Linked DNA regions of Cricetulus griseus. The protein of the gene in region 1 binds, or shares a complex with, the protein of each later gene. Links are inferred from orthologs where the notes say so. Each region holds a gene or a part of one and is shown in the gene's direction. Other genes may lie near its edges.

The links.
Region 2: the proteins of Ncbp1 (region 1) and Phax are in contact, whole or in part, in a cryo-EM structure (PDB 8PNT), measured with the Homo sapiens proteins. The link is inferred for Cricetulus griseus from reciprocal best matches to the Homo sapiens genes NCBP1 and PHAX. Residues at the interface, in NP_002477.1 of Homo sapiens: Cys380, Lys381, Pro384, Pro388, Gln389, Leu391, Ala392, Thr395, Phe417, His420, Leu421, Asn423, Phe424, Gln425, Arg427, Trp428, Ser429, Asp432; in NP_115553.2 of Homo sapiens: Ile114, Asn115, Asn116, Ile117, Trp118, Gly119, Val121, Leu122, Glu124, Gln125.
Region 3: the proteins of Ncbp1 (region 1) and Ncbp2 are in contact, whole or in part, in a crystal structure (PDB 5OOB), measured with the Homo sapiens proteins. The link is inferred for Cricetulus griseus from reciprocal best matches to the Homo sapiens genes NCBP1 and NCBP2. Residues at the interface, in NP_002477.1 of Homo sapiens: Glu32, Cys36, Leu71, Thr74, Val75, Arg77, Leu78, Leu79, Ser324, His325, Trp326, Lys327, Glu328, Arg329, Lys330, Ile368, Val370, Met371, Thr374, Glu378, Asn415, His419, Ser422, Asn423, Gln425, Lys455, Arg458, Leu459, Ser460, Tyr461; in NP_031388.2 of Homo sapiens: Gly4, Leu5, Leu6, Lys7, Leu9, Arg10, Ser11, Asp12, Ser13, Tyr14, Glu53, Glu54, Gln55, Tyr57, Glu58, Leu59, Lys62, Ser63, Asp65, Lys67, Ile69, Tyr89, Asn96, Arg99, Tyr100, Asn102, Gly103, Thr104, Arg105, Leu106.

The regions. Positions count from the first base shown.
Region 1 is NC_048595.1:97,272,631-97,281,845, reverse strand, and holds part of Ncbp1 (nuclear cap-binding protein subunit 1), read left to right. Parts: intron 1-1,608; coding exon 1,609-1,765; intron 1,766-4,162; coding exon 4,163-4,270; intron 4,271-4,956; coding exon 4,957-5,078; intron 5,079-5,957; coding exon 5,958-6,027; intron 6,028-6,767; coding exon 6,768-6,983; intron 6,984-9,215. UniProt on the Homo sapiens protein: Component of the cap-binding complex (CBC), which binds cotranscriptionally to the 5'-cap of pre-mRNAs and is involved in various processes such as pre-mRNA splicing, translation regulation, nonsense-mediated mRNA decay, RNA-mediated gene silencing (RNAi) by microRNAs (miRNAs) and mRNA export.
Region 2 is NC_048595.1:182,314,030-182,323,703, reverse strand, and holds the start of Phax (phosphorylated adapter RNA export protein), read left to right. Parts: upstream 1-3,866; 5' UTR 3,867-3,925; coding exon 3,926-4,021; intron 4,022-6,140; coding exon 6,141-6,724; intron 6,725-9,674. UniProt on the Homo sapiens protein: A phosphoprotein adapter involved in the XPO1-mediated U snRNA export from the nucleus.
Region 3 is NC_048597.1:57,545,755-57,555,768, reverse strand, and holds the start of Ncbp2 (nuclear cap-binding protein subunit 2), read left to right. Parts: upstream 1-4,206; 5' UTR 4,207-4,283; coding exon 4,284-4,361; intron 4,362-8,727; coding exon 8,728-8,909; intron 8,910-10,014. Other genes in the region: Pigz (GPI mannosyltransferase 4), read left to right, coding at 194-1,758; protein NCBP2AS2, read right to left, coding at 3,762-4,061. UniProt on the Homo sapiens protein: Component of the cap-binding complex (CBC), which binds co-transcriptionally to the 5' cap of pre-mRNAs and is involved in various processes such as pre-mRNA splicing, translation regulation, nonsense-mediated mRNA decay, RNA-mediated gene silencing (RNAi) by microRNAs (miRNAs) and mRNA export.

The DNA.
Region 1 (9,215 bases):
GAAAGTAGATGTCTTTTTCAGCTCAGACCCTTTCCCCCATCAAGGCATGCACATTTGCATGTTTAAAGTAGAGTTGAGTTGGTTTTGTTTTTGTGTTTTGTTTTGTTTTATTTTGTATCAGTAGGACAAAATATAGTGGAAAACTTGGAAATCAAGTGAATGGCCTTCCTCAAAGACTGAAGATGCTTTTGAATCTTTTAATGAGCATAATTGTCCTCCATGCTATGGTTGCCATTTCAGTAATTTAAAATCAATTGTTGGATGTTTGCAGCTTACTTTTAATTTAAAAATAGACAAAGCAGATTCCATTTTAACTCCTAATAGAAAATTTTTAAAGAATTATTTTTTGTGTATGAGTGTTTTGCACATACATGTGTGTCTGACTTGGAGGTCAGAAGAGGGTGTTGGGTACCCTGGAACTGGAGTTATGGGCAGTTCTGAGCTACCATGTGGGTGCTGGGAATCCAACTTGAGTCCTGCAAAAGCAGGTTTCCTTAACTGCTGAGTTCTCTAGACCCATAGTTATATTTTGTTTTTAATTTTCAAAGGAATCCCGTCAATTCGGGGAAAATGTATTTCTAGACTAAAACTATGAAAACAATCACTTTGTTACAGTTATCTATACAATACCCACTGTTTTGAAAGTATGTATTATAGAACTGTTATGGTAGTGAAACTGTTAGAAGCCATGCTTGTTTGTGTAAGTCTGGGCTGGTATTGATTGGCAGTGTCCTTTTAAATTTTTTTACTTGGAGAAAGCCTTATGGCCCATGGTTTATTTTCAATACAAGTATCTTTTGAGGTCCTAAATCATCCCCTGTACTCAGCAGTGAATAATTGTGTAATTAAGAAGTGACTTTGACTTCTCTTTTTAGGCTTATCTTTATTATCCTTTTATTTATTTTTTGTGTGTGTACATGTGTGGCCAAACATGTGCCTCAGCATGTGGAGGTCAATGAACACACAGAAGAATCATTCTCTCTTCTACCCCATGGGCCCTGGGATTAAACTCAGTGTGGCAAGAGCCTTAATCCACTGAGCCATGGAGCTGTCCTCAGCATTTTCTCAACTATATTAGCAGACCATATTAAGAATTTCTTATAGGCAATTGGTTGAAACTAATTTTAATTCTTTACCTTTTATAAGCAACCCAGTAATGTTTCTCCAAGTGGAATTCTGGTTCCATGGCACTTGGTTAGCTAAGTTTAGAAACTCCCAATGCTCTGTTCCCCTTTAATGATTCTGCATTAAAGGATCTGTTTCACGGAACACTTCTGATATTACCATGGAAACCATTTGCTGTGGAATTGGTATTTCCACCCAATGCATTTGAAGAAAAACTGGTCTAACATTAGTTGCATTAATTTTGGTGGGATAACTTCAGAAGTCACTGTTCCTTAACTCTTGAATTAACTAAAATGAAAAATATTGGGGTCTATATCTGCATACTTTTCAGTGATACATATGCCTTTTCTGAAATCATTTTCAAAACACAGTTAAAAGTAATTTTGTTCCAAAGTTATTTGATGTTAAAAGCTTTATGTACAATTCAACAGCTTAATATAAAACCTTTGTTTTGGGGTTGTCTTGTACGGGTTCTCAAATCAGTGCACGTCTGTTACCTGAGAAGTTGACAATTTATACAACATTAGTTGGACTGCTGAATGCCAGAAATTACAACTTTGGTGGAGAATTTGTAGAAGCTATGATTCGCCAACTTAAAGAATCACTAAAAGCAAATAACTATAATGAAGCTGTATATTTGGTAAGTTTAATGTGTGTGTATGTGTGTGTGTGTGTGTGTGTGTGTTGTAAGTTAGTGTTAAAGTGGAGGAAAGAAGCTACAGCCGATTAATTACTCCCTTGTCCTTAATTCTTGTCCTTGTTCATCTTGTAACTGTTCTTTGGGAAGCCATTTTCACTTACTACTCAATGTGATGCATGTGTTTACTTTGAATCTTAGTCCTCTTCCTTGCAGAATGATTCCTTACATTATTTTCTTATCTCTTGGTTTCTAGAGCATGACTGTTTGAAGACCTACTACTACTACTACTAGTAGTAGTAGTAGTAGTAGTAGTAGTAGTAATAACAACCACCACCACCACCACCACCTCAGCATTGCTCCTATCTTTAATTCTTATCTCTTTCACTGGGTTGTTATCTTTTATTATTTAAATGTTTGTCTTACAGTGCTTCTGTCTTTTATTTAAGCTTTTCTGAATCATTCTCATTCACTCACATAGCTGCATAAACCAACTTTATTTTGAAGGGAGCCCCAAATTTATAACTATCTCCCACCTCAACCTTTCCTGAGTTCTAAATCTATATCCCAACTACAGCCCAAAGATTTTGTCCCTGCAAGTCCTGAAGTTTATGTGTTGTCTATATCCCTCTTCTGTCTGCTCACCAGCTCATGCACAGGGGCCACTATCTGCTGGGCAAGCCATCCAGAAATCTGACATTCATTTTTAGCTTTTCATTGCCTCCTTACACATCTCCAACCCCTCTCAATCCTCTCCTAAATTCCCTTCTTTGTCCCATGGCCTCTAGCACAACTTGTAACTTTTTTGTGTTCTTAGCTGTTTCTTTACTTGACCTTTGTCCATCTGACGTCTCTGCCTTTGAATCTGTCTTCAGTAACAATAGTACTAGAGTGACCTTTGTGTAACTAGACGCTGCTCCTGTTGGTTACTGGTTAAAGCTTCACTTCCTTCCTGTTTTATATAGTGGGTAGTCTTAATACACAAAATGATCCATTGAGCTGCAGGGAATCATATATGTATTTAACATATTCTGGTTACGTTGGTCCCACAATATCTTCTCTTTTCCCACCTGCTCTTGCTGTACTCTTTCTAGTCTCCTTTCTATTTTGATGTCTTTTTGTATATGTGTGACTCACTTGCATACAAGTGTGGGTGGTTATTTACTGGAACATGGATGGACACCTTACTAATGGCTACACAACTAAAGAAAATACCTCCTTGCCCAGAAACTTTTAACTACCAGTAGCTCCTCAGGAAAGGGTTGGGGCCTCATGAACTCCATCCCTGTCCATGAAGGAATGTTGACCTGTCTGTAGCTGCTGTGAGGTTTTTAGTGCTGTGGTCATATCCTGTCCAGAGGATAGCATTTTTGCAGACTCCTCCCCAACCTCTGGTTCTTAGGTTCTTTCTGCAACGTAGAACCTTTGTGTGTCTTGAATAAAAGACTTAATTAAGTCTTACTAATACCTAATACATAGATTGGTAGTAATCCAGTACTTACCATAAGTAAGTACCTACATGTTGAAAATCATTTGATCACAATCTTTTTTATTGAAGACAAATTCAGAAAATTTTGGACACCTGTCAGGATATAGGATTAAAGTCTTCATCTTTCATGATTGCCCCAGTCTGGTTGCTTTCTCTTGTCCCCTGTATACCCTGCAGCTATGTAGTTACCTGCACAACCCTGTGCCAAGAATGCCTTCCCTGCTCCCCACTGAGGGCTTTGCTCACGCTTTATAACCTTGCCCAGTTGCTTTCTCCTTACACTTTTTCCCTTGTTACCGATGTCACTGGTCCCAAGGGCACTTTTTAACTTACCTTTTAGTGCAGGAGCCATCCCTTTTTGTTGAGATTGTGTTTGTCCCAAATCTGCTATTAAGTTCCCTTAAACAGTACCTTAAATAGTGCTTATATAGTCTTGGCACGTAGTCAATATCTCTTTTACTTAAATTTTCCATTTTTATATTTCAGTAAAAATTATTCCTAGCCAAACAAAAAGACCAACCTACTTCAGTAGAATGGAATAACTAGAATATCTGGCTGTCCAGGTGCTTAATGTAGCATAGCATGGAAACCCACAAAGTCACAGATACCTGTCCAGCATAAGATCTTTAGTACAGCTACCCAATTTCACCATTGTATCACAGAAGCATGGGTCAATAAGTGGCTGAATGGGTGTGAACTGTCTTCTACTGCAAGCATGGTTATGCACACTGAAATTTGAATTCATGTCATTTTGTGTGAATATTACTTTGTTTTGAACATTAAATTTAGAGACTTCTTGGCTCACAGGTTGCGCAAACGAAAAGATAATAAGCTAAATACAGACATGGGCTTTATTTTGTGACTATTATGAAAGACTATTAGGTTAATACAGATATCCTTTGCCCTCACAGGTCCGTTTTCTATCTGATCTTGTGAATTGTCATGTGATTGCTGCCCCATCTATGGTTGCTATGTTTGAGAATTTTGTAAGTGTGACTCAGGAAGAAGATGTGCCTCAAGTAAGACACCTTTATGTTGAATCTTTTCTGTAAAGTACTGTACCAGATTTTTTTCCCTACTGATAACTCTTTAGCAGCAATAAACAAAATACAATAACAGATTATCACACTGTAGTGCTTAATACCTGAAGGGCAAATCAACTAACTGGCTTATTGGTGGGTTCTCTTGACATCATTGTGTTAGTTCAGATGATTTTAATAAGATTAGAACTGTAGGGCTGGAGAGATGACTCAGAGGTTAAGAGCACTGGCTGCTCTCCCAGAGGTCCTGAGTTCAATTCCCAGCAACCACATGGTGGCTCACAGCCATCTGTAATGAGATCTGGTGCCCTCTTCTGATGTGGAAATATACATGGAAGCAGAATGTTGTATACATAATAAATAAAATCTTTTTTTAAAAAAAGATTAGTAGAACTGTATATCTAGAAATCCTCTAGATGAGCCAGATAGTTTATTTAAGCCTTATTGAAAAGCCTCCCCAGGATTGCATTTTCGACTAAAAAAGATTGGCCTGGAGAGTTGTATAGCTCACTTGTAGAATGCTTGCTTAGCATCTGTAAGAATTGAACTTGATCCTTGACACTGGAAAGAATAAATAATAAGAGAATAAATAAATAAAGCTAACTAGCATGTTTTTGGTTTTGATTTTTTTTTTTTTTTTACTTACCTTTTTAACCTTTCTTCAGGTGCGACGGGATTGGTATGTGTATGCATTTCTGTCATCTTTGCCTTGGGTTGGAAAAGAGTTATATGAAAAGAAAGATGCAGAAATGGACCGAATCTTCTCCAACACTGAAAGTTATCTTAAGTAAGGGCACAGCTCGCATGTTCTTTGTTGTTCACATAAAGATATCCTGCTGATAGGATAAATGTCTTCAGTTTTCTTTCAGTTCCATTTTTTAAAAAACAAAACCTTAAAGCTTCTGAAAAAGTCCTCTATTAAATTTCATTCTCCTGCTGCCATAATTCATTAAGATCCCAGTACTTTGCTAATGTAAGAAGTTGGTATCATGTGTGCTAAGCAGTTTTCATGTTGTTGTGAAAGGCGTAGAACACCATGGTGTAGTAGTTCCACTAGTGTTCTAGTGTTCATATGTTTATGCTTAAAGGTCACCTATAGCACTTAAAATTATACCTCTGCCCAGGCATCTAAATCGAGTGGAAGAGGTTCAAACGATTCCATCTGATTGGGTTTATTAACAGTACCATGGTATTGTTGTGTTGTGTTTTTTTAATGGTTTTCTTTATTAGTATAATAAATTAGTTCTCTGTGGATATTTAGTTTGTGCAGTCTCCTTTTACCTTAAATAAGTATCAGGGAATATTATTATATATAATATATATGTATATATATATTGTGTGTATGTCTGTGTGTATTTATGGGGATATGAATTCATAGGAATGGAGTTGGGTGAAGATTCAGAACAACTAAAATTTTGACAGAAATGGTCACATTGTCTTCCATAGACATATTCTTCCAGATTGTACCAATTAACCCCTCTGTCACCAGTGTTTGAGATACAGATGTGCTGTTATCTTGATGACAAATAGACTATTATCAAAAATGTTGCTATCTGCTGATCTGATGGATGAAAATGTTTTTCATTCTTTTAATTAATACGTGAAAACCATGGAGTGTCTTTTATTTTTCTAAAGCCTAAGTGTAGATTTTCATTTTTACTCTTAGACGACGCCAGAAGACTCATGTGCCCATGCTACAAGTATGGACTGCCGATAAGCCACATCCACAAGAAGAGGTGAATTGTTTTCCATCCTGTGTTACTTGCACAGCTTTTGAGTAGATCTTACCTCTGTAACATGCCCAAACTATATCACCAACCCTGTCAACCTGAATTCAGTTCCCAGGACCCACGGGTAGAAGGAGGAAACTGATTCCTATAAGTTGTCCTCTGACCTCTGAGAGTGCCCTATGCCCCATGTGCCACACAAATAAGTAAAACTGCAGTTTTACTCAAACTATTGCGTTTGTGTATCTTAGCTAGGTTTTTAAATATTTCCAGTGAGGAATTAATTTCCTCAGATTCTTAAGCATAGAGGAGATATTTAATATATGTTTGAGTATAATTGAAACAGCCCCTTGCTTTTTAGAATACCAGTGTCCACACACTTGACACATTTTATATCTAAATACTCAATTTTAAAAATAGCAGACGCAGTCACCCCAAATGTTCTACTGAAAAAAAGCTGCTAAAGTAAAAATGGAGAATGGACTGCTTAGTGGGTAGAGGCAGCCTTACCACAGAATGGAAGGAGAGGAACACCTTCCAAAAGCTGCCCTCTGATCTCAATGCTTGTGGCAAGAGCATGCACACTAATGCAATTTTAAATTTTTAAGTAAAAAACAAAAACTTAGTGCCATTCTTTTCTACTGTATGAAATACCAAGTTAGTTTATTTTGTCCTGTATTTTAGAGAATAGACATTTTCTGTACTGTCTAGCCAAAATGTTTATATTAAATATTAAAATCTCTTTTTAGTATTTAGATTGCCTGTGGGCCCAGATTCAGAAATTGAAAAAGGACCGGTGGCAGGAAAGGCACATCCTAAGACCCTACCTTGCCTTTGACAGCATCCTCTGCGAAGCACTGCAGCACAACCTGCCTCCTTTCACACCACCACCTCACACAGAAGACTCGGTGTACCCGATGCCCAGGGTAATTTTCAGGATGTTTGACTACACAGATGACCCAGAGGTATGGGAGTACCCAAGAGTTTCCTTTGACTTGTACCCTAGATATTTTTCTTTTTCTTTGTTCTTTCCAGGGATCTTTTGAGCAGGGTCTCTCTGTGGACCCAGATTGGCTGTGAGTTCACAGATTCTCTTATCTCAGCCTTCCAAGTGCTAGGATTACAGCCTTGTACCGCATTGCCCAGCCCAGCACTGAAATAACCTTTTAATTTTCAATTAATTTTTCAGCATTAGATTGATTAAAACTATAATACCTTGTTATGTAAAAAATTGTTTTGTTCATATAAATAAGAGAGACAGTATAGTTTACCATTCAAGAACCAATTGGTTAGCATTTTAATGCATATACTACGTGGGAGCATGAGTGAGTTATTTACTTCCTGTGCCTCAGTTCCCAGAGGAACAATAATAGTATGTAAAAAATGAACAGTGTCTCATATGAGTGCTCAATTTTAGCTGTTTGGGTAGGGGAAGTGTTGTGGGGGGTGAGCAGAGGTTGACTTCAGCTGTCTTTCATTGATCAGTGTGCGTGCGTGCGTGCGTGCGTGCGTGCACAAAGTTTCTCATTGAACCTGGAACTCACCATTGTATCTATATTGGCTGACCAGTAGGCCCCATGGGATCTGAGCACTGGGCATAGAGGCATGTGTCACCAGATCTAGCTTTTAATGTGGATTCTGGGGATATTTAATTCAGTTCCTCATGCTTGTACAGTAAGCACAATACTCCAATATCCATTGAGCCATCATCTCCCAGGCACCATGTTTAGCTAATTTTTGTTGTTTGTTTAATGTGTGTCTAGGTAGCCCAATCTGTCCTCATTGTGACAACCCTCCTACCTAGGCCTCTTGAACTCTGAGATAGTACTCGTGAGCCACTATGCTAAACATGTCTGCTTTTTTCCTTCTATTTTCTGAGAAAGGGTCCCATCTAGCTCAGGCTGGTCTGGTACTTGCTGTGCAGTTGAAGATGACCTGTAACTTGTGATGTTCTTGCCTCTGCTTCTGTTATGATTGCAGGCATTAACCACCATGCCCAGTTGTATATATTGCTAAGGATTGAACCCAGAGCTTCATGCAAGCATTCTACTGACCAAGCTACCCCAAGTCCCATTTAGCTATTGTTAATTTTTTTTTCAAGAAAAATGCTGCCTTTTCTAAATTGTCCATATTTTTAAACAACTCAGATTAAGTGACTCATTGTACAATTATTAAAAAGTATTTTGTCATCCTCCCAACTTAACATTCTAATTTTTTTAATTTATTTACTTATTTTTATTACATATACAGTGTTCTGTTTGCATATTTGCCTGCACACCAGAAGAGGGCACCAGATCTCATGATAGATGTTGTGAGCCACCATGTGGTTGCTGGAAATTGAACTCAGGACTTCTGGAAGAGCAGTCAGTGCTCTTAACCTCTGAGCCATCTCTCCAGCCCCCTAACATTCTAATTTTTAAGATGATTCTTATAGTGTTTTTGATTATGAAGCCAAGTTGTTGGCATCCCATTAAGAGGAGAACATGATTGCGTTGTGAATATTGGAAGTAAAAATGAATATCTTAAGCACACTAATTATTTTATATCTCAGTGTGTGATGTCTGTCTTGAAGCCAGACAGCAAGCATATAAGTACTAGATTGTTTCTGGAAGAAGTTTAGCTAGCTAAAGAACCAAAACTGTTGCTGGTTCCATTGTTGTTGCATGTAACAACCTTAACCCTCAGCACAGTGGACGTTTCAGGGTACGTATTTGTGAACGAGCACCATTCTGTGTATTATAAGGTGCTTGGCCTGGCTCTACTTCTCTGGTTGCCCTGTCAGGTAACTAGTGCCATGTGCCAAAATAGTTAGAGAACACCTGCATTCCAAGAGTGGAATTTATAGTCTGTATGTTTAGCACAAGTGAAGTATAAAGAGAATCAGCTGCTTTTGGATGAAGTGCTACTGCATATAGGACTTTGGTTTGGTTTTGATTTTGTTGTTATTTATTCTTTTAAAGAATACAAACAGAAATAAAGCAGAGACTCCAAATGTCCCCTTTCCAGGTTTCCCTTGCCTGGAAACTGCTCCTTAGTCTGAGTTTCAACCTCTTCTCCCTGGATCGGCTGGAAACAGAACATGACTAGGGTGGTGGTGGGAAAGACTTGGTGAGGATCAGTTTGACACAGATGGGTTTAACACCTGGCTTGGGTTCCCATTCAATAGTCCACCCTTCCCAGAATAGTGGGAGGACCTG
Region 2 (9,674 bases), about 85 Mb from region 1:
CTGATGCTTGGTTCCATAGTCCTAAGAGGGAAAATGGGATAGGGGCAAAAGACAATAACACCTACAAGAATAGTCTGTCAAATTGGTACATTTGTTTGTTTGTTTGTTTTTTGTTTCTCAAGACAGGGTTTCTCTGTGTACCAGCCCCGGCTGTTCTGAAACTCACTTTCTAGACCAGGCTGGCTTCGAACTCATAGAGATCTGCCTGCCTCTGCCTCCTTAGAGTGCTGGGATTAAAGGCATGTGGTACTATTTTTTTTAAAAGTCAGACTTGTGGAACCATAGCATTTCTTCTTTTCTTTTTTACCGAATTTGGAGGTCACAGTCTATGCTCCAAGAAGTCAAGTTCCTCCAGAAGTCAATTAAAATAGTCAAATTAATAGTAAAAATCAGAAAAAGGAAATTTATTCAATGCAGCCATATTGGGAAGAGGGACAAAGAGATCCATGACTCCCACTAAAGTCCATCTTTGGGTCCCAAGATGAGATTAAAGTTTAAATAAAGGCCAAGAATGTGAACTCTAAAGAGTCCAGATCAAAGTGTGGTCCTGCCCACTGCTCATTTACCCATCATTGTCTGGGCTTCATTCTCATTCTACAGTCTGACAAGTTAGAAGTGTGGGAAATTTTTTTTCCCAGTCCCTCCGCACCTTGTGCCTTTTCCTTTTTCAAGCATGAGATCCCTGGGGAAGTTCTTGTTTCTTGGGTTTATTGCTTCAACAATCTGATAGATTTAGAGATTTAGATAAAGAAAAAGCTCTTTATTCTCATTTCTGCCAGGCCAAATTTCATGTGTTCACACATGTGCGTGCATGCGTGTAAGACAGATGTGAGCAGCGGGTATTCTCCTCTGTCATTTCCCCCTTATATATTGAAGCATCTCTCACTTGAACCCAGAGCTTGATCCAGCTTGTTGAGTTAGTCAATGTCCTCTGGGAATCTCCTGCCTGCACCTCCTAAGAGCTAGGATTGCATGTGAGCTGCCATGCCCACTTGTCATCTAAGTGAGTGCTCAGGATCTGAACCCCGGGTCCCATATATGCATAGCAAGCACTTTACCTAATGCGTCATCTCCCCAGCCCAGCATCCCTCACATACTCAGAAACAAGCCCCTCAAAACATGAACCCTGCCTGGTGTGGTGACACATGCCTTTAGTCTCAGCACCTGGGAGGCAGAGGCAGAGGATCCCTATGGGTTTCAGTCTAGTGTAGCCTGCTCTACATAGTGAGGTCCAGGTCAGTCAAGGCTACACAGTGAGACCCTCTCAAAAACAAAACGAAACAAAACAAAACAATCACCTTGGAGGATAATATCCATACTATAATAGACTTGGACTAGAATTTATACCATAGGTTTTCCTTTTCCTTAAGCCTCCAGACTCAAACCAATAAACCTCCCCAGTTTCCAGTCTGCAGATGGAAGATTGTGTGAGTTTTCTGTCACCATTGTCACATGAGCCAATTCATTCTATATTGTAAAACTCTCTGTAAATGTGGTTTATCATTTCTCTGTAGAACTCAGACCAATATTAACTATAATCACAAAGACTGGCTTAGATTCAACTAAAATGCTCATTAATTAGTGGTTAAGTAAAAATGATAGATTCATTTGGGGGGAAAAAATCTCCCCATTCTCATAAAGTCATAGACAAATACCAAAAGCACTACATGTAATAAGAGGCCAGATATAAAATAATACATCATAAATAACCTCATGTATGCAATATACTAGAAAAGATAAAATGTGCCAAGTATGGTGGTACAGGCCTACAATCGCAGTGTTTGGGAGGACCAGGAATTCAAAGACATGCTCAGCTACATGGCTGTGAGGTGTGTAACACAAAACAAAGAGGCTGAGCACAGTGTTCTGGGACTTAAAGAAGGTAGTTATGAGGATCACAAAGCTTGACCCTGAGGGCACAGTTCAGTTGTAAAGCGCTTGCCTACTATTTGTGAATCTAGCATTGTCCAAAAACAAAACACAGCACCCCCACCATGCTGCTGTGTGTCTATTATGTCTATGTAATGTTTTAAATTACTGGACTGGCATGAGGGCAGTCTGTTCAGTTGCTTGGCTGACAGTCCTTTGCTTTTTTTAATTATTTATTTATTATGTATACAACATTCTGCTTCCATGTATATCTGCACAGCAGAAGAGGGCACCAAATCTTATAATGGATGGTTGTGAGCCACCATGTGGTTGCTGGGAATTGAACTCAGGACCTCTGAAAGAACAGTCAGTGCTCTTAACCTCTGAGCCATCTCTCCAGCCCCCTACAGTTCTTTGCTTAAGTCACCAAGGAAGGGACTAAAAACTCTCAGTTATGTGAGAAACAAGACCCTCACTTTGTAATAACAAATTCAAGAGACTAGGGAAAGTTAAAGTTTTTATTTTACAATTCTGTAGACATGGATGCTGGCCTACTAAAAGGAGTGGTGTACCAGGTTGGCATGAAATAGTGATTTTTATTTGTTTATTTATTTATTTATTTTGGTTTTGGCTTTTCGAGAAACAGTGGTTTTTTGGTTGTTGTTTGTTTTGTTTTGTTTTAGTTTCTTTGTTTTTTGAGACAGGGTTTCTCTGTGCAGCTTTGGAGACTATCCTGGCACTCGCTCTGTAGACCAGGCTGGTTTTAAACTCACAGAGATCCGCCTGGCTCTGCCTGAAACAGTGGTTTTTTCCAATTGGAAAAAAAAAAAAAATCCTACCCTCTTCCCATAGGCTGGTACTCCAGAGAGCTATACAACCTTTGCTCTCGCCTAGCAAAGCACCCTCAACGCCCCATCCTATTGGCTCAGAATATACAACCTTATCCACCATATATAATGGGTCTTGGATACCCTTTTCTGATCATCATTGGCTCAGTCACGTGGCAGAGTGCCTGTAACTTTTCAACCCTAGGATAAACTGTAATGCCTAGACAAGCAGGCACCAGTTACCAACTAAGGGAAGAGATGGGTGTGGTTGGGGACGGTGGTGGTAAAGGGTGGGCTTTCGCCTCCAGATTATCTGTAATTGAACGCTAAACCACCTCACGAACATAATTTATTTATCCATTATTTAATAATAGTTTATTTTAATATTTAATAAGACTTTAATATTTACATTTTTGTTGTTGTTGTTCGAGAAAGAGTTTCTCTGTGGCTTTGGAGCCTGTCCTGGAACTCGCTCTGAAGACCAGGCTGACCTCGAACTCACAGAGAGCCACAGGTCTCTGCCTCCTGCCTCCTAATGCTGGGATTAAAGGCGTGCACCACCAACGCCGGGCCATTTAATGTTAGGAAGAGCTTACTTTGTCTTATGGTTCTCGAAAAAAAAAAAAAAAAAAAACTCACAATGATGTAGAAGGCAGCATATAACACGATTTATTTCTTGCAAAACAGCCCTGGCCTCCACCAGCTTAGGCTAAAGGGAAAAAAAAACATAAACATTAAAAGGAGTGCTTATTAAAGCCTATCATTAACATTAACAGCACTTTAAAAATAATTTAGCCGTGATTAGCCAAACACCCTGGGGTGAGGTGAGCCATTTTATCATCTCAGGGAGAATGGCCTACGGGTGACTGGGAAAAGCAGCTGCAGCAAGGGCGGCCTAGGAACAGAAGTGGGGCAGTGACTCCCGCACAGCCAGCCACGCGTGCGAGCAGGGCGAGCCGAGTGAGGCGGTGAGCTGAGGCGGAGGCGAGCAGCCGGAAGGCCTGTCCGGAGCATCCGGGTGAGAGGCCGGAGGTCGGAGCGGAATCACCGAGCGCCGCCTGAGCTCGTCGCAGGGAAATCGCTGGGGAGCGCGGACCTCGCCTCCCAGCGGTGACTTTCGCTATGGTGACGCTCTCGGGGGCCGCCCGCACGGGGGCGCCGGAGCACGGCCATCGGGCCTCCCCTCCGTCCGCCGGAAGCGCTCTCCTGACCCTGCGCGCCGCGGGAAGATGGCGCTGGAAGCTGGCGACATGGAAGACGGGCAGCTTTCCGACTCGGATTCCGACATGACGGTCGTACCCAGCGACAGGCCGGTGCAAATGGCGGTGAGCGAGAGGGCGCGCGGGAGACCGGGCCGGACACCGGGGGAGCGCGGCCGGCAGGAGGGGCGCGGGCGGCCTCGGGATGCGGCGAGTCGGAGGCTGTGGGGCCCCGGCGGAGACTCGACCCCGCGGAGCCGCCGGCCTCGCGGCCTCCCGAACAGGCGAACATCCCCTCGCTGGCGGCTCCTGCTTCTGCACACTTCCCCGGCCCTGCACAGCCGCCCCTGGACACAGATTCCGCCCAAAACGGAACGTGGGGACAGAGAGCTGAGACTGCCTCGGATGCTCTTTTTGTTGTTGTTCCTGGCGGACAGGGAGCTCCTTGCGTACCCGGGGCCCGGTGTGTGTTGTCTCCACCATCCCCCCACCCCCGAGTTTGGTCAGCTTCCACGTACCAGTGTGGAGGCACCAGGCTTTGTTTCAGCTGCTCAGGGTTGTAGACGGCATCTCGATATGTATCCTACGGCTGATCGGGCCCTTAAACTGTCGTCCTGCCCCTTATACCCCACAAGTGCTCGGAGATCACAGTGCACCACCACTCTAGGCAGCTTCCTAATTTTCTGGGACCTTCTGTTACTCCTTAAAAAGCCCGGCTTCCCGCACCCAATCCTTACCACCGCCGCTATCCGCAGTGTTTTAACTGCCGTTTTGGTTTTCAGGTGGGACTGGCATGATGCACTCACTGCTCAGGGTGTAATGTAAGGGTGTGATGCGAGTGCTGCACACTGTAAGGCTTGGCCAATGTTGCCAGCGGCTATTGCTGGAAGACTATTCATCTACTGCCTTAAGTCATCTCGCTCATTTTAAATGCCTAAGAGGAATTCAATAAATGCTTGGTTTTGTGTTTAGTATAGAAAGAAAGCCAAGATTGAGGGTAAAATTACAATTAGAAGAAATAAACTCAGGACTCTCTTGCATAGTAGGGTGACTAGTTAACAGTAGCATATATTTCTAAATAACTAGGGAGTGGGGTAAATCTCAATTATAGAGTGCTTGCCTAGCATGCAGGAGGCATAAGTCAAGTGTAATTCACATATATCCTCTCCCCCCCAATAAAAAGATTTTATTCACCATAAAGTCTTTTTCACCATAAAGAAATGATAAATGTTCAGTGATAGATAAGCTAACAACCCTAATTTGATCATTATGAAATATATACATATATTGAAGCATCATATTGTACCGCATAAATTTGTGTAGTTATTATGTGGTGGTTAAATCTTCACATGTAGTTGTTTTAGGAAACTAATACTAGGATCTTATTTTCAATCCTCTTTTTTAAGCCTTAATAATTTGGTTAACATAATGCTGTGAAATCTGAATTTTGAGGAGTTTTGTTTTTGTTTGTTTGGGGACAGGGTCTCTTTTCATAGCCCAAAGTGTCCTCAAAACCAGGATCCTCTTGCCTTAGCCTTGTGATTAAAGGTGTGCACTACTACACCTGATGAAACCTGCAGTTAAAAGTAATACTTCTGGGATTCTTCCCATAGGAGCTTACCATTAATTTTTTACACCCCCCCCCATAGGGTCTTCGCTATGTAGATCTGGCTGGTCTTGAATTTACAGAGATTTGTCTGCCTCTGCCTCCCAAGAGTGCTGGGATTGATACCATCATGTCTTAAAGGAATGGCCACAGAACCATATAAAGGAAGTTGATACATTCAACTAGAAAATATATTTTTGGAGGGAAAGATAACAAACTTTGTCCTAACTGCCAGTAACAATTATTGTGTATGTCATTCTCACAGATGTGGTCTTTGAGGATGAGAAGTAAAGGCTTTGGTAAATTTTTAGGAGGCAATCTTCCAGCACCAAGTTAATTTAATAGAGACTAGATTATTAGTGTCAGCTGTCTTTGGAGAGAGATTGTTTTTGGATGCTCCAGTGGAATCTCCGGTACACTCTTTCTCCTCCAACCTTTTCTCCTTAATAAAAGTCTGCATGCCCCTCAGACAGGCCTGAACCCACTGTGTAACCTAAGTCGTCCTTAAGCTTCCGGTCCTCCTGCTTCTGGAATGCTGGGATGACAGGCATTCGTAATACCTACATCACTGTAAAAAATAGCCCACGGTAGGTGGAATTAATGCTTTGTGGAAATGACTCTGCTTTCTTTCACTTGCAGAAAGTGCTAGGTGGGGACAGTGTTGCTTGTGCACCAGTGTCACATTATCGGACTGTTAAAAATGTGGATTCCAGTGAGGAGAGTGTGGATTCAGATGAAGACTGCTCTCTTTGGAAACGGAAGCGACAGAAATGTCTTAACCCTCCTCCCAAACCAGAGCCTTTTCCGTTTGGCCAGAGCAGTCAGAAAACAGCTCTCAATGGAGGGAGGAAGGTGAACAATATTTGGGGTGCTGTGCTCCAGGAACAAAATCAAGATGCGGTGGCCATTGAACTTGGCATCCTGGGAATGGAAGGTACCCTTGACAGAAGCAGGCAGTCTGAGACCTACAATTATTTGCTTGCTAAGAAACTTAAGCGGGAGTCTCAAGAGTCCACAAAAGAATTAGACAAAGATCTAGATGAATATATGCATGGTGATAAAAAACCGGGGTCAAAGGAAGAAGAGAATGGGCAAGGTCATCTCAAACGGAAACGGCCTGTCAAAGACAGACTGGGCAACAGAGTAGAAATGAACTACAAAGGCCGCTATGAGATCACCGAAGATGACTCTCAAGAGAAAGTGGCTGATGAAATTGCTTTCAGGTAAGCACTTGTCCACATATCTTGTATTTACAGGAAGCAAAGTAGATGCTAAATGCATTCCTTTTTGACTGTTTTTTTTTTTTTTTTCTTTGATTATTTGTTCGTTTGGTTTTAGGGTCTCCCAATAGTCTTAGCTGCCTGGAGCTTGCTTTGTAGACCAGGATCTCCTCAAACTCACAGAGATCGACCTGCCTCTGCCTCTGCCTCTGCCTCTCAGAGCTGGGATTAAAGGTGTATGCTATACCTGGCTGAGGTTTTGTTTTGTTTTTCTTAAAGGAATTAACCCAGAGCATATTTGACTACGCTCGAATTTGTGTCTTTTTAAAGATAACGTTGAGCTGGACACGTAGCTCAGTTGGTACAGTGCTTGCCTAACATGCATGAGATCCCAAGTTCAATCCTTAACACCCCATAAACTGGGCAGAGTGTTGCATGCCTGTAATCACAGTACTAATGAGATGGAAGTTTAAAATCATTCTCAGCTACATAGGGAGCTTGATGCCAGCCTGGGCTAGATGAGATACAGTCTCAAAAGGAAAAAACAAACAAACAAACAAAAACCCAGAGGGGGCTGGCAAGATGGCTCAGCTGATTTAGGCTCTTGTCATCAAGCCTGGTGCCAGTTTAATCCTCGGTCCTATGTGGTACAAGTAGAGAACTGACTCCTGCAAGTTGTCCTCTGACCTCCACATTTCTGCCATGGTACACACACACCCACACAGATGGATGTAAAATTTTTAATGTTACTCTTAAGTTGAAAAATAACATAGCTATTATGTTAATATGACAGTCATTCATTTTCAGGTGTTGATTTTTTATGGAGACAAATTGCCCAGTTTTATGACCATTACTTTATTATTTATTACAACCTTTGCTTTTAAAATCTTTCTCTCCATCACCCAGTAAAATCTTTTGTGTCCTCATCGGTTTGTCCGTTTACTATTAATATCCTAATTCTCTTTCCCAGACAAGTATGCTTTTCTGCCCTAGTAAATTTGTCATACAGATGCAGCCGTGCAGTATCTGATTTGTAGTTTCCTTCCCCCCCAAGATAGTGTTTCTCTCCGTAGCTCTGTAGACCAAGTTGGCCTTGAACTCAAGAGATCCACCTGCCTCTGCCTCCTGAGTACTGGCATTTGCCACCATGCCTGGCTACTCTTTTCTTTTTGGTTTGTTTGTTTGTTTGTTTGTTTGAGGCAGGGTTTCACTGTGCAGCTCTACTGTCCTGGAAGGAGTTGTAGGGTAGAACAGGCTGCCCTCAGACTCACAGAGATCCACAGGGGTCACTGCTGCCCGCCTTCAGTTTTATTATGAACTATGTTGTAGCAGAAACTAATGCTTTTACACCCCCCTTTTTTTTTCTTTTTTGAGATTGAATTTTTTTATTTATTTATTTATTTATTTTTTTGGGGGGTTTTTCAAGACAGGGTTTCTCTGTGGCTTTGGAGGCTGTCCTGGAACTAGCTCTTGTAGACCAGGCTGGTCTCGAACTCACAGAGATCTGCTTGCCTCTGCCTCCCGAGTGCTGGGATTAAAGGTGTGCGCCACCAACACTCGGCTGAGATTGAATTGTTGCATTGATGAAGGAACCCTGAGATAAAGCCAGTCCTAGGAACTTGCTGTGTAGACCATACTGGTCTCAGATTTACAAGAGAGCTGCTTGCTTCTGCCTCCCAGGTGCTGGGATTAAAGGCATGCGCCACTCGCTATGCCTAGCTATTTATTTTCTTAATTTGTAAATGAAAAGTGTCGCTTTTTTATTTGGATGTTTTGTTTGGTCTCCCACAGCTCAGGCCAGCCTCAAATTTACCTTGTAACAAGATGGGTTTTAAACTCTGATCCTCTTGCCTCTACCTCCCAAGGGCTGGGATTACAGGCACTCAACCACCATATTCTTGACACTGCAGTTTTATTGGATGTGTAGAGACTTACATATCTCTGGACTGGATGGGTAGTCTACATTTATTTATTATGAATAATGCTGTTAACAACCTTTGCTTGCAAATCCTTGACCATATTTTCATTTCTTTGGGGTAAATAGAATTGTTTGGCAGATACTAAATTGACAATTCATGCATTTTTTCACAGGCTCAGATTCTAATTAATGTTTATTAGCTCTAAGTCACTAGTATTTGAAAATAGTATGCCGTTAGGGAAACAAGTGTTTCAGGCAACACCAGTACTGGTTAGTTTTGGGTTTTGTTTTGTTTTTGTTGTTTTTGTTTGTTTGTTTTTCTTTTTAATAGTGAAGATATTTGGGGGCTGGAGGGATGGCTCATTAGTTAGGAGCATTAGGAGCACTGGCTGTTCTTCCAGAGGATCCAGATTCGATTCCCAGTACCCACGTGGCAGATCACAGCCATCTGTAACTCGAGTCACAGGCAATCCAGCACTCACTTTTGGCTTCTGTGGGCATTGTGTGCACATGGTGCACATGCACACATACAGGCAAAACACTCATACACAAAAAATAAAAATAGAATCTTTTTAAAAAGTAAAAAATCAGTCTGGTCTTCAAGTCTAATTACAGGGGATCTAGCATCCTCTTCTGGCCTCCTGGGTATCAAATGAGACATACATGCAAGCAGTACACTTATACATGGAAAACATTTAATAAGAAGTGTGGAGTTTATATTCTGAAGAAATGTAGAATTTATGAATCAGAGTCCCCCTAGGAAACTCAGGCCCAGTACACTTACCTGGCTTGCACAAGGTTATCAACTTTGTGAAGGTCGGACCTGAAGCTGAACCTTGGTCACTTGCTCCTCCTTTCAGGTGCCTTTCCCACAGTATTACATTGCCTCCTGTGAGGAGAAACCAAGGTCTGAGTCTGATTGGAAACTGAAAAGGCTTCTGCACTGTTTTTCTTATTTCTGGGAGCCATGGACCCTGTCTGACCCAGTTAGAAGAGCTACTCAAGCTCCCTGTATTTTATTTTTTGTTTTTTGAA
Region 3 (10,014 bases), on another chromosome or scaffold:
GAGCTGGGGAGAGGGGACAGGCTGCCTGAGAGACTCTCCCAAATAGCTTTACCAAAGCACTAAAACCCACCTGGTGCAATCCCAGGGGTTGTGCTCGAAGTGTCCACCAGGGGGCCTTGCAATCCTGGTGCCAACCCAGAACTCTTCCCAGCACAGGCTTGGAACTGGCTCATCCCTGCCTCTCTCTCTGCAGAGGACATCCTGGGTGTGCAGGCTTCACGGCCCTGGGAATTTTACCCCAGCAACTCCTGTCGCACTGTGGTCTTCCCCCTGCTGACCTCTGGCTCTACCTTCTGGTTGCTCAGGCTCTGGGAAGAGCTGGGGCCCTGGCCTGGTCTGGTGAGTGGCTACAAGCTGCTGGTGGGGCCCCGACTCCTCCTCACTACCCTCTCCTTTGCCCTGGACTGGGCTATGTACTATCTGGCTCCACTGTGGGGGGCAGATCGCTGGAATGCCATGTGCCTGCTGTCTGGGTCCTATGTCACCCTGGTTTTCTACACAAGGACTTTCTCCAACACCATCGAGGGACTTCTCTTCACCTGGCTGCTGGTGTTGGTGTCCCCTTATGTGGCATGGAGTCCCACATCAAAGAAGCCTACCCCGGGTCCATGGTGGCACAGCTGCCTTCTTGGTGCCATTGTGGCTGCTGGCTTCTTCAATCGGCCAACCTTTCTAGCCTTTGCTCTGGCCCCCCTCTCTCTCTGGGGAATCCATAGAGCCTTGGAACCTGGCATCAAGGCCTTGACTCAGGAGGCCCTGGTGCTGTTGCCAGGGGCTGTTCTTGCTGCAGTGTTGTTTATAACCATGGACAGCTGGTATTTCTCCAGCCTCTCGAGATCCAGTGGCCTTGTTCTTACACCTGTAAACTTCTTGTACTATAACCTGGACCCCCAAAACCTTGCAAGGCATGGCACACATGCACGGCTCACTCACCTGGCAGTCAATGGCTTTCTGCTCTTCGGGGTATTGCATGCTCAAGCCCTGCAGGCGGCATGGCAACAACTCCACAGCTGCCTCCATGCAGTTGCACAAACCGGCCTCTTGAGGGCGCGGGGTCCCCAGGGCCTACTGCCTAGTTCTAAGTCTTACCTCCTTCTCCTTTACTTCACACCCCTGGTCCTGCTGTCTGCCTTTAGCCACCAAGAGGCTAGATTCCTGATTCCCCTCATAGTCCCTCTAATCCTGCTTTGTAGTCCGCAAACACAACCTATACCCTGGAGGGGTACCCTGGTCCTCTTCAATGCCCTAGGTGCGCTCATCTTTGGCTGCCTGCATCAGGGAGGTTTGGTACCTGGCTTGAAATACCTGGAGCATGTAGTCCATGCACCTGTCCTCCCGGGCAGGGCCACCCACTACACGCTTCTCTTCACCCACACCTACATGCCTCCTCAGCACCTCCTGCACCTCTCAGGCCTGGGATCACCTGTGGAGGTGGTGGATATGGCTGGAGCTGAGGACAGGGTCCTGTGCCAAGCCCTGAACAATTTCAGCAGACAACCAGGTTGCCAACAGGCTGGGGGGCCACAGCTCTGCCGGCTCTTTGTTGTAACACCTGGGACCAACAGGCATGCTCTGGAGAAGTGTAGTTTCTCTCTCAAGAATGAAACTCTTTTATTTCCCCACTTGACCCTGGAGGACCCTCCAGCCCTGTCCTCCCTGCTCAGTGGGGCTTGGAGGACCCACCTTAGTCTTCATGTCATAGAGCTGGAGGAGAAGCCCGTTATGACAAAGCAGCCATGGCCTAAGATTCAACCATAGAAGGTGCCACTCCTCACAGGCTGCTGGGCTGGGATAATGGAACAGGACTTCTACTGCTGTCTCTGATGGGCATACCCACAGGTTGTTCCTCTAAGTGAGCCCACATTCATTTTCCTCAGACACCAAAGATTTGACCAGTCATGGTCCCAATGCCAAGGTCCCCAAAGAAGCCTACCATAGCCACAGGCACATGTTTGTTTCTGTGCCGTTACCTCCAATTGCTGTGTAATGTCTAAATATATAGTAGCGCCTGGTTATCAAAGACAATGAACTGCTGATGACGTTCCTAAGTGGCCTCTCCCAAACTTACCACAATGCCTGACTTCTTGTTACCATGACAACCTTTGATTTCCAATCTGGCTTTCTAAACAAATACAGTGTGAAGTAGGGACAGCAGGTGGCTCACATTCAGCTCTAGTCCCTAGTCTGCTACTCACAAACTGATCTTAACAAAGTCCCTTCCACTCAGCCAATCACCCAATCTCACCACAGACAGGAGGGTCCTGAGGTCAGTGTCAGCCCTGGAGCCCACAGACTAATGTCCCCCAGATTGATAAACATGTCTCTACAAGGCTCTTTAGCCAGGAAGCAGTCATTGTGTTATATTTCATGGCACTTTGGTGCCAGTGGACTCGGGGTTTGGGCATAACCAAAACAAGCCATTCCAGAGAATGTCTTCCTATCCTCTTTGACTCCTTTTATGAGCAGTGGTGGGATTTTTCCAGTCACTGTCTAAAGGATCAGGAAATGAAGCTCAGGGGCACAATGCCTGTTTAGGATGGTTAAGGAACTATCCCCAGCACCAAGATGGGAAAAAAAAAAAAAAGGAAAATCTCATCCGGGTGTTGGTGGCGCACGCCTTTAGTCTCAGTACTCGGGAGGCAGAGACAGGTGGATCTCTGTGAGTTCGAGACCAGTCTGGTCTACAAGAGCTAGTTCCAGGACAGCCTCCAAAGCCACAGAGAAACCCTGTCTCAAAAAAGCCAAAAAAATAAAAAAAATAAATAAAAAATAAAAAATTTTATAAAATTAAAAAATCTCTCAGAATGAAGAACCCAGGTGCTCTCCTTTCTCAGTGCTGTTGTAAGGCCCCCTTGGCCTTCCCCAGTGGAAACAGAACACAGACTGCTCAGAATCTGGTACCCAGTCTAAAAGCTTTTCTAATGGAGTCCAACCTTCTAGATGCTAAGATTAACTGAGTGGCTTAAATGGAGGTCTAGAAGTTGAATTAGGAGTCTCAAAATGACAAGGCAATTTATGTGCACAGGTTTCCTAATCACAGTTCAGTTAACTGACCATAGTGAGTACTCCAGACAGAGCCTCAAGGAAACCAAGTATCCTGTGCTGCTATAACAGAGGCCTCAGTGCTCAGTGGAGATTGAAAAGCCAGTCCCTGAGCAGGGAGTGCTCAAGAACACAGATCCTGGAGTCACACGCCTGGGCTCACCTCATTGTACAAGGCTTTGGGTTCAAAAAGTGGCCTCCACTTTCTCACACGAATGGGGTTTTAAGTCACAAACCACACAATGCAACAGCAAATAGCAACACAGACGCTTAACGTGTAAACTATTATTAGCAAGATCCTACAGACTTAGCAGCTTACATATTTAACCAGAGATCTTGGCAACCTCAGGGTTGTCATTCCATCTACCATCTTCCCTGGTATTCTCCTGCACCAGTGCAGATGGCAGTAGCGTTTATTTCGCTTCAGTCCCGCTTGCAGAAGGCAGGCTTCCTGGTCGTTTGTCCTTGGCTCTCAGTCATACTAAGTTTTGGTGTTGACTTTTATCTCTGGTGGCCTTCGGGGTCTTTACGTCCTGCCTAGTCACAGGACTACCACGCACATGTCCATTTGACCTTAGGCTTCTGTATGTTGACCGCCGCGTCAGGATTCGAGGCCGTGCATCGTGCGGGAGATGACTCATGTTTGCTAAGGTCGGTGTAGATCACTGGAGGGAGGGGTGGGGGAACGTGACCTAGGCCCGTGAGAGTGCAGTCTGTGCTTATGATTTGGTGCCCGGACCCTTCTGATGACCTGGGGATGACCCTGGTTGGTCCCGGAGGCCTCGGCGGAGTTCCTGGGTGAAGGTGTCCTTGAACCGGGTGGCGCGGCGACCCAAGGAGCCTAGGGGCTGACCCGCGAGGGCGCGCAGACGGCGGGCCGCGTCGTGGCCGCGCAGTTGCAGCTGCAGCAGCGCGAAAGCCGTGAGTTGCGCCGCCCGCCGGATAGGCCGTGACTCGGACAGCCGCTCCACCAGCTGCGGGTTGTGCAGCAGGGCTGCCAGCAGCCGCCGGAAAATCATCGTCCTCGGAGCGCCCGGGAACCCGGGGCGAGCCTTCACTCACCTTCCGACCGGCCACTCCCGACGACGGACAAGCCGGCGCCGCATGATGACGACACAGCCGCACCAGGATTGGCCCTGACCACGTCGGCTTACTGCAACAGGACGCACGCATTTCCGTTTCCGCCGCCACCGCCGCCTGGTCCTTCCAGTCGTGGCCGCGTCGTGGTTCGTGTCTGCACCATGTCCGGTGGCCTCCTGAAGGCGCTACGCAGTGACTCCTACGTGGAGCTCAGCGAGTACCGGGACCAGCACTTCCGGGTGAGGCGGGCCGGGCCACGAGAGGGGCTGGCTTTGGGCTGGAATACTGAGAAACGGTTTGCATTTGTCTTACTGTGTCTTCCACTCGTCTTATTGTGTCTTCCTTCCTGTTTTGTTGGGGTCCTAAAATGCGAATGGGGTCCCAGAGGTGTTTGGATATCATTGAAGCCACTTTACTCCTAGGGAACCTGGGATTTGCTTTTACAGTTTCTTACTGCTGCTGCGGGTACCAGCACCAATGCAGGGAGGTTCGGGTAGTGGTGGCTGTTTTGATGGGCTTGTCTTGCTTGGGAAAGTGTCTGTAATGAAGGAGTTATCCCTGCGTTGGCTGACCCAGACAGTATAGCCGTTTTTGTTTTTATAATCAGCTAGACATTCCCGTCTGGTATTACAGTCCTTAGTTTTTGTAAGACAGTCCTACAAAGTTGGCAATAGTAGGAGACTCAAAGTTGAGCCCTGTTTTTTGCTGTCTGACGGGCATCGGGCATGGACAAGCCACACGAGTCACAATAAGGTTGTCTGGATGGCAAAATCCAGTGCAGGCACTGGCTACACAGAGAAACCCTGTCTCGAAATACAAGCAAAAACACAAAGAAACTCAATCAGCTTAATTTGAAAACGTATACTGTGTGTCTGGTATGAGTTTCACTTGTACTGCTGTTTTTGTTTTGTTTTGTTTTGTTTTTAACAGTTCCCATTACTTTCAACAGTTCCACATCAGTAACTAACGATTTTGAATTTAAAGCATCCTGCAAGGTTAAAACCAGGAGAGGGATCATTTATTTCTTTTGTCAAAAGCCTGTAGCTCTGTTCGGACATTAATAATTTCTGTCGTGCATTTTTTAGTGTCAGTGCTGTACTGAGTGTGAAATTAAGTTACACTGAAGCTGTAAACTGTTTGGATTTTACTTGTGAGAAACGAACAGCAGTACAAAGTGAATCTGCTAGCCAGGTGCGATGGTGGACATCTGTATTCCTAGTTGTTCTGGAGACTGAGGCAGGAAGATCCCATGAGATCAGCTGGAACATGTAAAAGAAAATGTTGAAGTGATTATTTTCTCTAATGGATCATCGAAAGTTCTAAAACCTTGGGTTTATTTGGTTTGGGCTTGTTTGTTTGTTTGAGACAGGGTTTCTTGTGTAGCCCTGCCTGTCCTGGCACTCCCTCTGTAAACCAGGCTGGCCTTGAACGCACAGAGATCTGCCTGTCTCAGCCTCCCAGGTGCTGGTATTAAAGGTATGCAACACCACCACTACCACCCAGCTGGGGTTGTTTTTTTCAAGACAGGGTTTCTCTGTGTAGCTTTGGAGCCTATCCTGGCACTTGCTCTGGAGACCAGGCTGGCCCTGAACTCACAGAGATCCGCCTGCCTATGCCTCCCGAGTGCTGGGATTAAAGGTGTGTGCCACCATCGCCCAGGGCACCCAGCTGTTTGTTTGAATGCAAATGACTATTGTTCCATAGACTTCACCTGTTCAGTCCTGTTGTGATCTTAAGGCAATGTGGTAGTGGGGATAAGACCAGAATTTTACTTTGTTTTGTTTTTTAAACTGTAACTTGGAAAGCTAGAGAGATGTCTTAGAGGTTAGCACAAGCTGTTCTGGAGGACCTGGATTTAGTTCCCAGTCCTGGCATGATGACTCACAACCATCTGTAACTGATTCCAAAGGATCTGGTGCCCTCTTCTGGTCTCTGAAGGCACTAGCCATGCATCTGGTACACAGACATACAAACACGCAAAACACCCATACCTATAAAATAATAATAAAGCCAAGCCAAAAACTGTAACTTGGAGATGGGTGTGATGACCCATGCCTGTTACTGAAGCATTTGGGGGAGGTGGTAGCATGAGTCTCAGGAGTCTGAGGCCAGATTGGGCTATCTCAGAAAACAATTGGGCTAAGTAGACTTAGCTCAACAGGTAGAATGCTTGCCTAGCATGCATGCATGAAACTCTTGGGTAGATCTTGAGCTGTATATAAACTTGGAGTGGTGGTGAGTGCCTATAAGCCCAGTACTAGGAAAGTGGAGGCAAGAGGATCAGCAATTCAGTGTTATCCTTGGTTACAATGGTTCAATACAGCCTAAGCTACATGAAACCCTGTCTCAAAAAAACAGTAACAAAAGCATCTGGAGACAGTTGAGTGGTGGTGGCACAGGCCTGTAATCCCAGCCCAGCACTCAGGAGGCAGAGGCAGGCCTGGTCTTCAAAGAGTTACAGGACAGTCTCCAAACCTACAGAGAAACCCTGTCTTGAAACCCCCCCCAAAAAAAACAAAGTGGTAGGGGGTGTCTGGAGGACTCTAGTTCAGTCCCTAACACACCAGGTATCATCTCACAGCCAGTTTCAGGGAATCTGATGCCTCTGGTCTCCAAGGGCTGTCACACTGTGCGTGCATACGCATGCACGCATGCATGCACAATAACTTAAAAAGTAAAGAAAACTGCAGAGCTGGAGAGATGGCTCAGTGGTTAAGAGCACTGGCTTCCAAAGGTCCCAAGTTCAATTCCCAGCAACCACAGAGCAGCCCACAACCATAGTAATGAGATCTGGTGCCCTCTTCTGGCCTGCAGGCACACATGTAGGTGGAACACTGCATACATAATAAGTAAATACCTGCTAGCCTGAGCTCTGTTATAAAAAGAATGCAGGTGATTAGTGCACTCATATTCTCAGAAAAAAAGGGAACTGGATCAACATTACTTAAGGAATACTAGATGAAAACTGGAGAGTTCTAGAGTGAATTCCCTGAACTTAAGTCTTATCAGCTCCTCCAGACTGGATTCTATCATATGGTTGTCTGGACTAAAAAATGTCTGGTCAGTTGGTATATCTGTTTAGTCACATCTGTGCATTTGTGTCCTTTCCAGTGGGAATGCTAGAAAGCCCAGGGATAACTCCCCCCCCCCTTTTCTTCTGATAAACACCATGCTAGCTGAGTGTGGTGGCTCATGTGTATAATCACAGCTTTCAGGAGGCTGAAGCAGGGTGTTCAAAGCTCAAGACTAGTCTAGACTATAATGTAAGGTCCCAGAGATAAGAAACAAACCTGGAGCTGGGGGTGTTGCTCAGCATGCTAACGTGAAACCTTGAGTTTATTCCCCATCACCACAAATAATCAAATACCACATCTAAGACCCAATGAACCATCTTATACCTGGGGACTGCTTTATGTTGGTTGAAGCTCGCTTAAACTCCCATCTTTAGCACGTGTCTCTCTCTCTCTCTCTCTCTCTCTCTCTCTCTCTCTCTCTCTCTCTCTCTCTCTTTCTCTCTCTCTCTCGCTCGCTCGCTCTCTCTCACTCTCTCTGGCTTCATCCTGTCTTTTAAAGAAAGTCTTGCCAGACAGTGGTGGTGCACACCTTTAATCTCAGCACTAGGAGCCTTAAAACAGGCAAGTCTCTGAGCTCTACATTAGCCAAAGCTACAGAGAGAGACCACATTTTAAAAAAGAAAGAAAAGAAAAAAAAAATCCTCTTAGTGGTCACTAACCTCTTACATGCACAAAAACATAACCATGCAAATCACCTAGCAGTTTTTGCTATGAACAGGCTTTAGGGGAGTACTGACAAGACTTACTTTTATTATAAAGGGTAAAAGGCCTTTCTGATATGTTCTGTCAAGGTGTAGAATTTGAACTTGGCCATTAGAGAAGGATCCAGTGCTGAGGGCAATGAACTATGCAAGAAAAAGGCATGCCACTCTTATGGCAGTATGATATAGGAGGATATGTGCTTTGTTTCTCCACTAAAAGCAGGCTGAACCTTACACTAGTATTTTAGAATGGGAATACTTCCAGACTGGTAGGGTTCTTACCTAATATGTAATATCTTGGGTTCAATTTCCAATGCCCCAAAACAAATTCACACTTTGAATAGTCAGTACTCTTAACCTATAAGCCATCTCTGCATTCACCCCACAACCACCTCTTAGGGCAAGGAAGAGTATGTGCTAGGGATCAGAAGATGAGAGCCTTTAATTTCCAGATCAGAATGGGCATCTTTATTATACTTGGAAATATGACTTTAACCAAGGCTCTGTAATTTTAGTTTTCAAGTCTGTTCATTTTATATATGTGTAATGCTTATGGAGGATTCACTCTTGTTTCTGCTCTGCACTGTCTACTCCAGACTGGGCTGGCCTCAAGCTTCAAGGAGATTCTCTATTCCGGTCCCATGTTCTGTAGGAGTGCTGGGATTACAGGTGCATGCCACCACATCCAGCTCTTCACTGGGCTTCCAGGGATCAAACTCAAGTTGTCAGGCTTGCACAGCTAGTGCTTCTCCTGACTAAGCATTCTATAGCCCTAAACAAATCTCTTTTTAGGTTGTAATGTTTAATTTCGTCTCTATTTGAAACTCTAGGGTGACAATGAAGAACAAGAAAAATTACTGAAGAAAAGCTGTACATTATATGTTGGAAATCTTTCCTTTTATACAACTGAAGAACAGATTTATGAACTCTTCAGCAAGAGTGGTGATATAAAGAAGATCATCATGGGTCTGGATAAAATGAAGAAAACGGCGTGTGGATTCTGTTTTGTGGAGTATCCTTCTTGGGCATCTAATGGAACCATTGAACCAGGACGGAGCAAGAGCGCGAGTACCTGCCTCTTTTCTTTTTTCTTTTTTTTTTTAATATGGCCCTGGCTAATCTGGAACTCTGGCCATCTAGCTGTCTGCCTCCTGGTGTTAGGATTCAAGGTGTGTGCCACTATACCCCACTTGGTTTTTTAAGGCACTAACTTACTATAATCCCTATCCTTTTCTCTCAGTTCTTCCTCTGAGTCATACTCTGTAAATTGCAAAACTGATACTACATTCCATTCAGAAATTTTGTTCACAGATGAATCTTTAAGAAAAGGTGTCTAATCCTAGCACCTGGGAGGCAGAGGCAGGTGGATATCTGGGTTTGAGGACAACCTGGTCTACCTAGTGAGTTCCTAGACAGTGAGGCCTACAGAGAGACCTTGTCTCGAAAAAGAGTTTTAGCCAGGTATGGTGATACACACCTTTAATCCCAGCACTCAAGGCAGAGTCAGGGGATCTCTGTGAGTTTGAGCTCAGTCGGGTCTACAAAGAGTTCCAGGACAGCCTGAGCTACACAGACCTGGACCCTGTCTCAGGGAGAAAAAAAATCTTGTTGTTTAGATTAGCTCCATTCCTGAGCTAAAGCCCCCAGGCAGCTGAGCATAAAGGCTCAAATCACCACAGTTTTTGGTGTATGATTTTGTAGTCAAACACACTTCTTTCTTTCCCTAAGCATAAAGGGCCAACCAGATTTCCAAAGTTTTGTACCCTACCAGCAATAGCATCAAAGAGCTCACAGGGACAACAGGGGAGAATATAAAATGGCCCTTAAGAACCAGTGTTTACATTTGCCTTGCAAGCCACAGATCAACATTCATGATAAGTGTACAGAAGTAAGCCTGCTGTTGCTCATTGGTTTTGCTCTTTGTCAAGCTTTCATGAAACAGAAGTCATTAAATGCCCACTGCTTGCTAGGCATTGTCTAGGTGTCAGATGCTGAAATTTCACCAGAAGTTTCCCTATAATTAGGATTTTTTATTTATGTGTATAAGCATGCCTGTAATATACATATATTTATGTATGTATATGAATAAGATTTTCCTTTTGTGGTGGTTTTTAAAA